2 linked regions of the Tamandua tetradactyla genome follow. Each later gene encodes a partner of the first gene's protein in a complex. Links are inferred from orthologs where the notes say so. Each region holds a gene or a part of one and is shown in the gene's direction. Other genes may lie near its edges.

Region 1 (6,288 bases):
TATCAAATTACTGGCACAATGAATTTCATAGACAAAAATACTCAAAATAACTATGTTCTCAGCAGAATTAAAGAATGGTTGAGTCAATCCCCTGACAATTTCCGCTGCCAAAAAGAGGCAACTGAGAAACGACTGGAAAGCAAATCTAAGATAATGCAGTATCAAAAAAATGAAGAAAGAAATTTCATACAAAAATTTTACTGACCAAAGTAACTGTGTTTTGAGGGAGCATGAAAGGAATTACTTGCCCTCGATCTTGAACCTTCTTGTCCCTGGGGAGGAAGAAGCATCCCACAGGTTCACTTTTGTCAATGAAAAATTTCTCAATAGTTGCTACAAGAATACAATGCTGCTTTTTTTATTCTGTGTCTCATTTTTACCTTTCTTAATGCTCTGGAAAGACAGGTAAGATGGGAAAGAAAATTGGGGAAGAAATATTTGGACAAGCATAAGGAAAAATATCAGGACACACAAGCAAAGAGTTGTTGGGTCTGATCATGAACAGCCTTGCCAAGTCCAAGAACAAGCATTGTGTGTTAGCTAGACAAGGGAGGAGAAAGGTGGTTTGGTCAGATCTGTGGAACAAATCTTAAGGACTGACCTGAAGAGAGAATGGAGACAAGAAACCTGTTAGGGTGTTCCTGGGATACTCCTCAGGTTCCTGGCAGGGTCATAAATTGCCACCAAACTGGGTAATTTAAGACATACTAGCAAAGGAAATATTTATAAAGACAGGCGCAAGGTTTAAGGAGACCCACAAAGAGTAATCCTTAAAGGGCAGAGAGATATAAGCAATCCTAGGCTGGCAAGAAGGCTGCCCAAAGAAAGCTGTGACCTTTTAGAGGCACCAGCCACCCCAAGGCAATCTGCAGAGGGCTGGGGGCATTTGTACCCTGACCTCACTCTCTTCACATCCTCTGATGCTTTGCAAAGCTTCCCACTGGCCAAACCCAGTGGAAGTCAGGGGTACAGAACAGAGTAGAGACAGGATCTGGAGAAACAAAGGAAGAGATCCAGTCCAATCCTGATGGGGGGGATGGAATACAGAGACAAATTCAGCTGGACTTTTAGAATGATTGGATTTGGAAATGGAAAAAGAAAAGTCAAGAATGACTTTATAGTTTCAAGTCCCAGTTACTAGACTGGAATGATGATAACATCAGTTGAGCCTGTTTTTATTAACACCGGATTTCTCATCGCCTGACACAGTGCTCCAGGCTTCAAGGAACTTCAACAAACATTTGTTGAAAAAAGAGTGGGTGGGTGGATGGATGGATGAATGGAATGAAAGAAGAAATAAATTTGAGGGAAGATGATATATTATTTAGTTTTAGACACAGTATGGTGGAAGAGCCGAGTGGACGGAAAGGATCAAATCTGTACTACTGAGAACCATCTGCACAAAAGCAGCAGCTGACATCATGCAAGTGGATGAAATGGCACACAGAGCAGGTATTAAGAGAAAAGAAGTGAGATCTGAGGACCAGATTTGGGATCTGTGGGCCAAAAGAAGAAAAAGAAAACAAAGAGAAAAGACAGCATGTACAGCCATTTGCCAGACTGTTTAAACATATCCACATGCCTGCACATACCTGGCAGGCTTTCTTTTTTCTTGACACTGCACAGTCTTGCCTAACATGAGAATGATACAAATGCCTGGGGTCCATCACTTACCCACTTGGCTCAATTTTATTTTATTTTTCATTCAAACCCCATTCTTCACTACTTTTGCTTACCCTGAATCTAACACAGCCAACAGGAATACCTTTTTAATTTAGAGAAATCTGTAACGTTTTTTTCTTTCAAGCAATCATGTATTGAGTACCTATTATGTATCCAGTACTAAGTTCAGCAAAGTGAAAGTAAATATCAGTCTCCAACCAACAAGGAAATTAAAATACTCTCGGACTGTGAAAAACCAATAAACATAAAACAATTAAAGAACAATTAAGTGTTCATCTGTATAATCCTAACCAAATAACATTTATCCAGTGAGGATTCACACTATTCAATACCTGTCCACCTCCTTCTTAATCCAGGAGATTGATGGAGGAGCTAAAACCTACATAGGTGCACAATCTATTGGAAGCTCAATCACACTATTTTGTAAAATTCTCATTACCTGTGTTCTTTCCTGGTGTTCCAGAAGGTCTCAACCCACCTTGTATCTAGTGTCTGTTACATGGTAGCTGTTCAGTTAGATGTTTGCTAACTAAATGAATGAATCATAAACCAAGCCAGCACCAGGAGTTGTATCAACATTCCAACCTTCTTCTCTGGCAAACCACAAAAGCTTTTAGATTCAAGGCAGTTATCTAATATGGCCTTTGGCCTAACCTTGGCCTCCTAAGGTGACTGGTAGTAAAGACTTAGTGATGAGCACTAAGGCACAGGTTCAGAAAAACCCCAGCAACTACTACAATTATTTTAGATTAGAGGAAGAAAGGAGGGTCTAATACAATGTCTGGTGCATGAAATGTGCTCCATAAATGTTTGGTAAATCAGTGAACCAAGAACAGCTGAAGATAGTGAGCCTGAGACTAACTTGAGTACACAATCAGAATTAGGGTGCAGGCAAACTGCAGAGCCTGGAGCTCTTTTGTTCCAAGACAGGAGAGGATATGGCCCCAGGCTATAGGTCTATCTCTTAAACTTTTTATATTAATTTCTACTGCCTAATCTTCCAGCATAACCCCTACTTCATTATTTCCAATCCCCTGATCAAGGAAAACAAAACCTGTAAACCCCACAATCAGCAATGCCTCCTAAACGTGAATGTACATACTGATCACCTGGAGAGCTTGTTAAACCGAAGGTTCTGATTCTGTACATCTGGGGCAGGCCTGCGAGTCTGCCTCTCAAAGCTCCCAGGTGAAGCTATGCTGCTGATGAGCAGACCAGAGTATCAAGAGCCTGGTAGACACCGCAGTCTTAACGCTGGGTTAAGACACCTCTTGCCCCCACATTTCGTAGGTACATGACCTCGCACAAGTCATTTCACCTGAGTTTCATCACTGGCATATGATTAATACCAACAAGAGCTAACATGAGTGCTTACTAAGTACCAGAACTGTTTCCTATTTATCAACCTATTTGACTCCTCTAAATAACCTGTGCAAGGTAGGTACAGTAAATGGTAAACCCACATCTGACTTAAGCAGTCTGACTCAAGAACCTGGTGTCTTCAATTTAGCTGTTATGAAAGTGAAAGAGCTGTTATGAACATAATAGAGTAACTGGTATTAATTTAACTAACAGTTACTGAGCACTCTTTCGTCCCAGGCCCTATTCTAACTCCCCCTTGGGGTATATTAACGCCCTCATCTTTACAAAAGCCCCAAGCCATAGGTACTATTATTTTCTACATTTTGTATATTTTTAAACAGGCCCAGGAAAGTTAAATTGCCTAAGATTAAAATGTCCTTAGATGGCTCAGTCGGGATAAGCGCACAAGTAATCTAATTGCAGTGCCCGACGCTCGTCTTGCCCCGGACCAAGAGAGATCATGATTTCAGGCCTCTGAAGCACCAACACTCGCTCGCTCCCAAACCAAACAGATCCTTCTCCAGCACTCAACTTCACGTTTGTCTGGGACATGCCTTTCCCCGCCCACACATTAGGTCCCACCATTAGGGCCGTGGTGAAATCATTTCTGTAGCCCAACTAGGGATGCTTCACTAAACAACTTCACAAGGCATGTACAGTGAATTTGAAACACAGGGGCTCCGGAAACCCCCTAAAGCTGCGACCCCAATAATTCGTCCCTGGAACTGCCCCGCCTCCTGGCCCCGCTGCATTCTGGGAACCTCGACCTCAATCAGGCCCTGGAACTTGTAGTCTGGGCTCTTCGCGCTAGCTCCGCCTACATCCGGGTGCACGCCCGAGGTAGGGGGGGGGCTTCTAAACCCACAGGCTTTCCAACACCGCCCCCTGCCGGCCTATGGAGAAAAGGTAATGTAGACAGAGAGTCGGTTCCGGAGGCTCCGGAAGTGAATCATTCTCTTCCGGATCGAGGGTCTGAGCGTCAGCACGTGGCTTCGTTACCCGGCTTAGAACTGACACTGCCGGAAAAGTAACTTGAACTGTAGTTCTGAGCACGTTAAACGAGCCCGAGCTATGGACGGTCAAAGCGTGGAGGAGCTGCTGGCAAAGGCGGAACGGGATGAGGCAGAGAAACTGCAGCGCATCACGGTGCACAAGGAACTGGAGCTGGAGTTCGATCTGGGTAACCTGCTGGCCTCCGACCGGAACCCTCCTACGTGTCTGCGGCGCGTGGGACCCACGCTGGAGGCCGAACTACGGGCCCTAGCGCGAGACAACACTCAGCTGCTCATCAACCAGCTGTGGCAGCTGCCCACGGAGCGCGTGGAGGAAGCTGTGGTGGCACGGCTGCCCGATCCTACCACCCGCCTGCCGCGCGAGAAGCCGGTGCCCCGGCCGCGGCCGCTTACACGCTGGCAGCAGTTCGCGCGCCTCAAGGGCATCCGCCCCAAGAAGAAGACAAATCTGGTGTGGGACGAGGTGAGCGGCCAGTGGCGGCGTCGCTGGGGTTACCAGCGCGCCCGCGACGACACCAAGGAGTGGCTGATCGAGGTGCCCGGCGGTGCCGACCCTTTGGAGGATCAGTTCGCCAAGCGGATTCAGGCCAAAAAGGAACGGGTGGCCAAGAACGAGCTGAATCGGCTGCGTAACCTGGCCCGCGCGCACAAGACGCAACTGCCCAGCGCGGCCGGCTTGCACCCTACTGGACATCAGAGCAAGGAGGAGCTGGGTCGCGCCATGCAGGTGGCCAAGGTCTCAACCGCCTCTGTGGGGCGCTTCCAGGAGCGCCTACCCAAGGAGAAGGCGCCCCGGGGCTCCGGTAAGAAGAGAAAGTTTCAACCCCTCTTTGGGGACTTTGCAGCCGAGAAGAAAAACCAGTTAGAGCTATTGCGAGTCATGAACAGCAAGAAGCCTCAGCTGGACGTAACAAGGGCCACCAATAAGCAAATGAGGGAGGAGGACCAGGAGGAAGCCGCCAAAAGGAGAAAAATGAACCAAAAGGGCAAGAGAAAGGGGGGCCGACAGGGTCCTGGGGGCAAGAGGAAAGGGGGCCCGCCCAGCCAGGGAGGGAAGAGGAAAGGGGGCTTGGGGGGCAAGATGCATTCCGGGCCGCCTGGCTTGGGTGGTAAGAGAAAAGGGGGGCAGCACCAAGGAGGAAAGAGGAGGAAATAATAGAGGCACCCTCGGACTTGCTCTGTAAACCGGAAAACACATACTAAATTACTAAATGTTAAATTCTAGATAGAGCAGGGGGTATAGAAGAAGGTGGCCACTATCTTCACCGAGCTTGGGGTTGAAGGGACAGGACTGACCTCACCTCAAGAAAGTAAGTGTTGGACTCTACAAATTGTTTTTCCCACAACCGAGACTTTTTAGCTGGAGATGAAAAATTAGGGGAAGAACTTGATGGAAACCAGGAACGAGTTTCTGTTTTTAAATAGCCACCTTTTTTCTTTTTGACTTTGAATATGGGTGAGGGAGAGTTGGTCATATTTCAGAGACTCACAATGAATTAATTTATACATTTTTGCATTATTTTTGTAACAAATTTGTGTGTTTACCAAAGCAGGGGAGAACAGGAAAGATTACATTTTCACAACTGTACTTACAGCTAACTATTGAAAAGATTATTTAATAAAAGTGCTTATAACTTTGCAATTATTGGTAGAAATCTTAAGTGAAGTCCAGTGACATGGATACCAGGTACAGAGTGTTTTATTTACTTTCTAAAAGATATAAAGCAGCTAAATTATCATGGTTTCAGAGAAACCACTTTAGTTAGAAAAACTCACTTTTGGTATCAGATGATATTTGAAGATGTAATATAACGCTATTTCAAATGTACATTTCATGCTTTTCAACACGGGTTAATTTGATGTAAATGATAAACTTGGGTCTCACTAAATAATCATGGTAATTCTCATTGATGCAGAAAATATTTAAATTTGTTTCAGCATTTATGTTCCCTCACCCCCCCCCCCCCAAACTTGACTCTCAGTAAGATCTGTTTTGGAAAGGAAGAGACCCACAAAATCCTTACTTGGACCGTTAATATCTTCTGGATCAAAGCCTGAGCTGATTTTGTTCAAAAGTTAAATGTTTATGGCTGTCCTAGGGCTCTTTCCTGCCCATCAGTCTCTTCCTAATCTCGTCTGTTAAAAATATCTCCTGAAAAGGGTTCGTGATAGATGTAGAATTTAGAGAGCCTGTCCTGCTGGAGAGTTGAAAGACCCTGCTCTTTTTGGT
Region 2 (7,627 bases), on another chromosome or scaffold:
AGGAGAAGGAGGCCTACTCTTATATTCTCATGTTTTCTATTTAACATTATATTGAAGGTTCTAGCTAAAGCAGTTAGGCAAGAAGAAAAAAAAGGAATACAAATTGGAAAGGAAAAAATAAAACTCTATTTGCAGAGGACAGGATCCTAAGGAATACAGACATACATTAAAAATACTATAAAAGCAAATAAATTAGACTCCTAGTCACATGTTTAAACACTAGGAATCCTTTCCAACATGGCCTTGGACAACTACCCAGACAAGTGATACTTACACATTGAAGGCGCAGTCACACCAAATTCACAGTGGATCTGTTGAAAATCCTCATTGGCATATTCAACCAAAAACCTTACCCAGATTATGCCATCAAACAAAAATATCTTTAGAAATTAACACTGAAGAGTCTAGAATCCAGATTTGGTTTCATATTTGGAGAGCTAGACATTTATTCCAGGGAAGAACAGAGCCTGATCAGGCCTTAGAATCAAGCTAAAACCACAGGCAAGATAACCCAGCAACAATTCAAGATATAAAAGCCAGATGGTGCCATATTTCCTATACTTCTTCCCAATTGTGTACTCTCATCAGGGTATGTAAGACAACCCTTATCATGGAACTGATTACAGAGAAAGATTTGCAAAAGAAATTGGGGTTCCAGAGTCAAGAGCCTAAATTTGGTTTCAAAACTGAAGATCTAGATTTCATGTCCAGAGAAAATATAACCTGATGAGATCTCAGAACAAAGACAAGGCCAGGGACAAAATCTCTGAGATGAGAAAGTTCAAAGTATAGAAGCAACGTAAAGTATCACCAACCTCACTAGCAACCATTTTATTTCTCTAGAACCAGAATGAGGGCACAGAAACAAGTTCAGTGTATCTGATATCATCACCTTGGGTCCCAAATCTCTCTCACTCTTCCTGGGAATGCACCCTTCCTCTGAGAGTGCAAGTTGGACATTCTGGAAATGGTAAGCAAGACTTCCGGAGGCGACACTGGTCTAAGAGACGCTCCACAACGCTACTGAACAAGCCTGGCTCTAGAATTCAGCAGAGCTTGAAGACAGTGAAAAAAAATTAATAGATATAATCCACTATCTGTCTCTATGAAATTTGCTTATATAGGTATTTCATATAAGTGAGATCATACAGTTATTAAAAAGCTAATAAACCAGTTCAGCAAGGTTGCAGGATACAAGATCAATAAATAAATATAAATTATATTTCCATATAGTAGCAATGAACAAATTGGATAACAGTTCCATTTGGATAACAATTCCATTTACATTAGCACCAAAAAAGAATAAAATACTTAGAAATAAATTTCACAAGAATGCAAGAATTATGCACTGATGCCACAAAACATCACTGAAAGAAATTAAAGAAGATTTAAATAAATGGAAAGCCATTCTTTGTTCATACTGACTTACTATCATTAAGATGGCACTACTACCCAAAGCAATTTTACAGATTCAATCCCTATCAAAATCCCTATTTTGTTGCAGATATTGAGACACTTAAACTAAAATTCACATGGAAACCCAAGAGATCCAAAACAGCCAAAACAATCTTGAAAAATAAGAATAAAGTTGAAGGACTCATATATCCTGATTTCAAAATTTTCTACAAAGCTACATTAATCAAGATGGTGTGGTATGGGCATAAGGATAACATATAGATCAATGGAATAGAATTGAGAGTCCAAAAATAAAACTTCATACTTACAGTCAATTGATATTTGACAAGGGTGCCAGAACAAATCAGTGAAGGAAAGAATAGTCTTTCTTTTTTTTGTGTGTGTGTATTTGTACATAAAGCAAATATCTTTGTTTTCCTTCTCTTATTCCCTTTACATGACAAAAGTTGTTCACGTTACAGTGGTTAAGTTATAGGATGTCAAATTTCAGAGGGAATTTTACTCAAGGTTGCACCCTATTCTGGAGAGATTTAGTATGTTTCTGGTTGTACACAGGACAATTGAGCATTGCGAGGTGGAAAATATGTCTTTTATTGTTTTCTATTTAAAGTATGGGTTAAGTTGATGTCTGTAGCTGCCAGGTTGACAAGGGGTGGACTGTGATGGTTAGGTTCATGTGTCAACTTGGCCAGGTGATGGTGCCCAGTTGTCTGGCCAAGCAAGCATTGGCCTAACCATTACTGTGAGGGCATTTTTTGGACTTAAATCATCAGTCAGTTGATTGTATCTATGGCTGATTACATCTACTGTCAACTAAGGGGAGTGTCTTCCACAATGAGAGAAGTTTAATCCAATCAGTTGAAGGCTTTTAAGGGAGAGGTGATGACTTCAGTAGTCAGAAGAGAGAAATTTTGTTTCTACTTCAGCCAGCCAGCCTCTCCTGGAGAATTCATTGCAAACCTTCATCAGAGTGCCAGTTTGCAGCCTGCCCTATGGACTTCGGACTTGTGCATCCCCATAGTTGGGTGAGACACTTTTATAAAATATCATACTATTTATGTATATCTCCTGTTGGTTCTGTTTCCCTAGAGAACCCTGACTAAAACATGGCAATATGGTAACTAGAAGCCACATGCAAAAGAATGAAATCCAAAATGCATCAGACCTAAATGTAAGTGATAAAACTAAGAAATTCTTAGAATAAAAGATAATAATCTTTGTGACCTTGGTTTACGGAATGATTTCTTAGATATGACATCAAAGCACAAGCAATAAAAGAAATGATGGCTAAATTGGGCTTGATCAGAATTGAAAACTTTTGTGCTCAAAGCATACTATCAAAATGAAATAACCCACAGAATGAGAAAAAACTATTTGCAAAGGGACTTGTATCTAGAATAAAGAACTATTAGAACTCAACAATAAGACAAATAACCAAATCTAAAAATTGGTGAAAATATGGTATGTGAATATATCTCAATAAGATATAAAAAAGAAATGGGTGAAGAATTTGAATTGTCATCTTTCCACAGAAGATACAGGTCAACCAGCCCACAAAAAGATGCTTAACATTATTTACTGTAAGAAAAATGCAGATGAAAACCATAATGAGATACCATTTCATATTCACTAGAATGGCTATAATAAAACGATGGATAATAATAAGTGTTATTGAGGATGTGGAGAAATTGGAACCTGTGACCAGACAGAATTCTTCCTCAAAAACTGTCCGTCTTAATCCTCAGAATCTGTGAATATGTTACTTTACAAAGCCAAAAGCACTCTGCATATCTGATTAAATTAAGAGTCTTGAGATAGGAATCTTTTCCTGGATTATTGAGTAAGACTCAGTATCATCACAAAGATCCTTTTAAGGTGAACATTACACCATGTATAGTCTGTATGTGTATAAAGATTTTTCAATAAAAATATTTTTTAAAAAAAGGAGTATTAGAAAACGGAAATGTGAGATTTGAATAACGTGTTTTAAGATGTAGAAAGAGACCATGAGCCAAGGAATGCGAGCAACTTTTCAAAAGCGGTAAAGGCAAGGAAATGGATTCCCACTGGAGACTCCAGGAGGAATGCAGCCTTTCTGACATGTTAATTTTAGACCCATAAGACTTAATTCAGATTTCTAACTTTCAGAGTTGTAAGAGAATACATTTGTTTTTTTTTTTTAAAGCCATTAAGTTTGCAGTAATTTATTACATCAGCATTAGGAAACTAACAAACCCTTTTATATTTCTGGTGGGAGTGTAAAATGGTACAAGTATAGCCACTTTGAAAATCTGTTTTGCTGTTCCTCAAAATGGTAAACATAGAATTACCATATGACTCAGCAGTTGTACCCCTGGAGAAATGAAAACATTTTGCATGCAAAAACTTGTACACAAGTGTTCAAAGCAGCACTATTAATAATAGCCAAAAAGTGGAAACAACCCAAATCTCCATCAGCTGATGGATAAATAAAATATGGCACATCATTTTATTTATTATTTATATTAATATAACAATAATTATATATTAATATATAAGATTTAGTAATTATAATCAATGATAATTAATAAACAATTATTTATTATTTCATAAACAAAATATGGAATATTACTTAGCCCTAATTAAAGACATGAAATATTGAACATGCTATAACATGTATGAAACTTGAAAATATGCTAAGTGAGAGAAGCAAACTCATATGGTCACACATTTTATGAATGTATTTATATTACATGTCTAGAATAGGCAAATCCATAGGAACAGCGCATAGATTGTTGGTTGCCACAGGCTGGCAGAAGGGGAAAATGGGAATGACTGCTACTGATATGGGGATTCGTTTTGGGGTGATGAAAATGTTCTGGAATTACATAGTGGTGAAGGTTGCACAGCTCAACGAATTTAGTAAAAACCAATGAGCTGCACATTTTTAAAGACTGAATTTTATGGCATATGAATTATATTTCAATTAAAAATTGGAAAAAATCACAATCAGTATTTTCTGATTACGTTCTTGTGCCAGCCACTATGGCAGTAACAGACTTCTGCCCTCACTTACCTCATAGTTTAATTAATAGTGGGCATTTCATGTTAAAAAATATATTTAATGACTAGATACTGTGTTAACAACCTTGCATTGGCATCCTAGGAGATTCCCTGAAGACTAATACCTGACCCCTGCATACCTGACACCAAATATACATACAGACTAGTACGTCAAACAGCTACAGGAGACGTTTCTTAGTATTACTTCGCACCTAGAATCCCCGGGAAAGAGAAATCAAAAACCGGTAACCAAGGCAACAATCAGGGGCCAACCGAAAACGACCACCAGTCTGTGTCCGACCCGCGCCCAGGCGGATCAAGGAAGTGGCGTCACGCACAATTTCCGGTTCCGCGCAAAGCCATAGCTCGTAGAACAGAGCGGTGCACGTGGGTTCGCCTTTTCGGGTTGCTGTGGTGATGGATGCTTTGGACCGAGTGATGTAAGTTCACTGGGGTCGCATCCTGGGAACGCTGGGGAGAGGGGATTTTGTGACGGGAAGGAATGTTATAGCTTTTGTCTCCTTCTTTTGATTACCGCTCTGCTTCCTCCCTCTGTTTGCCAGTCGGACCGCAGTGGGGGCCCATCAGCTTGGGTCTTCGGTGCCGGCGGCCGGGAAACAGTGTGTAAGCACACAAATGGGAGCCGCGGGAAGGAGGTGGGACGGAAGCGTTGCTTCCATCCCAACAAATTAAAGCTGTCTGGCTTCCGAAGAAGGGTGAAGGAGGTGGTACAGTAAAGGGTTAAGTGCACAGGCTTCGGATTCGTACAGTTCTGGGTTTCAGTCCCGGCGCGTCCGCTCAAACCTTTGCGACTTTGGTTGGACTCTCTAATCTAAGCCTCGGTTTCCTCTGTAAAAGTAGCCATCATCATATTCGTAGAGCTGTGAGAATTGGAGAAGAGAATGTGTGTAAAGTCTTTGTCACAGCACGTAGAACATACTCATTAACTTTTACTTTTCCTCTCAACCTTTAGTACTTCTCTGGGTTATACTTAAAAGAGTTGTTTGTTTTTGATTCGTTCAAAAACTATTTATTGTTCTCCTAAATCGTCCTGCGGTTATTTGCTATGGTTTTCTTCTTGGGATTTACCTGGGTTAAAATGTAATGAAAATGACAGTTTTCTTCTTTTAGTCATTAATTCAGGGATTTTCTGCACCTGCTTCATATTCCTTTAGGTGTTGGAACTACAAAGATGAGTAAGGACAATTCACAGCCTAATTGGAGGATGAACAGTTAGTAAAACTTCTAAAGTGCTATTTGCATTCATTGCTTGTTAACGAGAAGTAACAAACTATATGGAATATAAAGCATATAGCACTTTTGTTGCCATATAGACACACTAAGTATTTCTTGATTTGATTGTAATGCATCTTTATCGATAAATGAGAAGAAACTTTATGCTTGACATTTATCTGGGGGAAAGCTTTTTAAGTCTGTGTGGGAAACTAAAGTGTGTGTGTTTGTGTTCTATTTTTATTTTTCTTTCTGAAATGCCCATAGGACTGGGGGGAGGGGTTCTATTTATTTAAAAGGAGTAATTCTTTCAGTGAATGCAGAAAACCTGGAAAAGCAAGAAATGTACAAAATGTATCCCTCTTGCTGTCATATCTTAAAATCAGAATAATGGATTTGTTTCCCCTTCATAGTTTCCAAGGTGATTGGTCTAGATGAATTTTCAAATTTGGCATTTTGAAGATTGACCTACTTATAAGCTGTGTAACCTTGGGCAAGTTACCTTTTTGTCCTCAATTGCCTCCAGTAGTCCTTTTCTCTCTCATACGGTTGTGGGGAGGATTAGGCCTTAATACAGGGACTTTATTAAAATGTCATCATCATTATTCCCCTTTGGTGGCAATGTTTGACTTTCTCATGGCCTTAAACCAGGAATATAAACAGTCCGTCCTCTTGTGGCTTTGATTAATGGGCTACATTTGGTAACTGTTCATAGATATATTAGCAGTTTTTTGTGTAGTTCTTTCTGTTAGAGTACATGGTACAGTTTGATTGGTTCAAGAATGGAAAGATGAAAGAAAAAATAACGGTAATTACTCCAGTTCTTTATTTTTTTTTTTGGTTTTAAAAAAGGTTTAGATAAAAGGAGTAATAAAATAACTCTTGGAAATTCTAAATGAAGGCTTTCCTCTTTTAGCTAAAAGTTAATAAAATAAACATATTTAACTAATAACTGAATATTTTACTAGTATCTCCTAAAAGGTGAGATTTTGTTTAATGTTGGAAACCTAACTGGAAAATATGCTAATGTGATTTCTCAGTTGATTTAAAATAATTTGCGTATCAGTCAAGTCATAGTTTTGAAATATAAGGAAAATGTTTTAAGTTGTTTTGAATTGTGATTTTTCTGAACAGAAAGCCCAAAACAAAAAGGGCCAAGAGATTCCTTGAGAAGAGAGAACCAAAACTCAGTGAAAATGTTAAAAATGCCATGCTGATTAAAGGAGGAAATGCAAATGCAATAGTGACACAAGTACTTAGAGATGTGGTACGTATATGTACTTATTTTTTAAATGGCATAGAAATCATCTTAGGAAATTTTAGCATATTAGCTTAACCTGCTGGAGAATCACCTGTATAAGTTTGCCTGGCCTTAAGAACTATAAACCTTAGAGTAGAGCTAAACTAGAGATTACTTGCCTTGTCATGGCACTGACTACTGGTTTTCCTTAAAATAACTAGTTTCTTGGTAAGTTTCAACTGTTTTAAATTATTAGAATTTGGTTTATTTACACTTTAGAAACATAACTAATTTGTAAAGCAAAATAACTACATATTAATGTATGTTCATTCATCTACACCAATGATTCGTTCTAGGTGCTGGGAATTAATAGATGAGACACATTCCCTCCCTTCAGTGAGCTTAGTGTAGGAGACAAAAAAGTACAGAATTATAGCATTGGGATTGAGTGGTGTGCTGGAGGCTTGCATGGGATAGGATGGGAGGCAGTAATATCACATTGTGGTATCAGGTTCTCAGAGATGACACTTGAGGCTTCATTTTGAAAAAGTTGGAGCAAGAAGTGATGGAGAAGAGAAAGACTTCCAAAGCTAAGGGGTAAAAAAGGTTGTGCAAAAGAGAGTGTAAAAGAACATAATACATTTGGGGAAACTATAAATAATTGGGAATGGCTGAAGGACAGTGGGCTAGATACTA

What was found. Proteins that work in one complex are often made in the same cells at the same time.
Region 2: RRS1 (region 1) and RPF2 share a complex: the UniProt entries of both Homo sapiens proteins name them as parts of the hexameric 5S RNP precursor complex. The link is inferred for Tamandua tetradactyla from reciprocal best matches to the Homo sapiens genes RRS1 and RPF2.

Annotation. Positions count from the first base shown.
Region 1 is NC_135332.1:109,969,472-109,975,759, forward strand, and holds RRS1 (ribosome biogenesis regulatory protein homolog), read left to right. Parts: upstream 1-3,989; 5' UTR 3,990-4,116; coding exon 4,117-5,214; 3' UTR 5,215-5,696; downstream 5,697-6,288. UniProt on the Homo sapiens protein: Involved in ribosomal large subunit assembly. May regulate the localization of the 5S RNP/5S ribonucleoprotein particle to the nucleolus.
Region 2 is NC_135331.1:169,708,555-169,716,181, forward strand, and holds the start of RPF2 (ribosome production factor 2 homolog), read left to right. Parts: upstream 1-4,608; 5' UTR 4,609-4,875; coding exon 4,876-4,898; intron 4,899-4,914; exon of another isoform or gene 4,915-5,082; intron 5,083-5,097; exon of another isoform or gene 5,098-5,362; intron 5,363-5,610; exon of another isoform or gene 5,611-5,690; intron 5,691-5,866; exon of another isoform or gene 5,867-6,499; intron 6,500-6,825; coding exon 6,826-6,958; intron 6,959-7,627. UniProt on the Homo sapiens protein: Involved in ribosomal large subunit assembly. May regulate the localization of the 5S RNP/5S ribonucleoprotein particle to the nucleolus.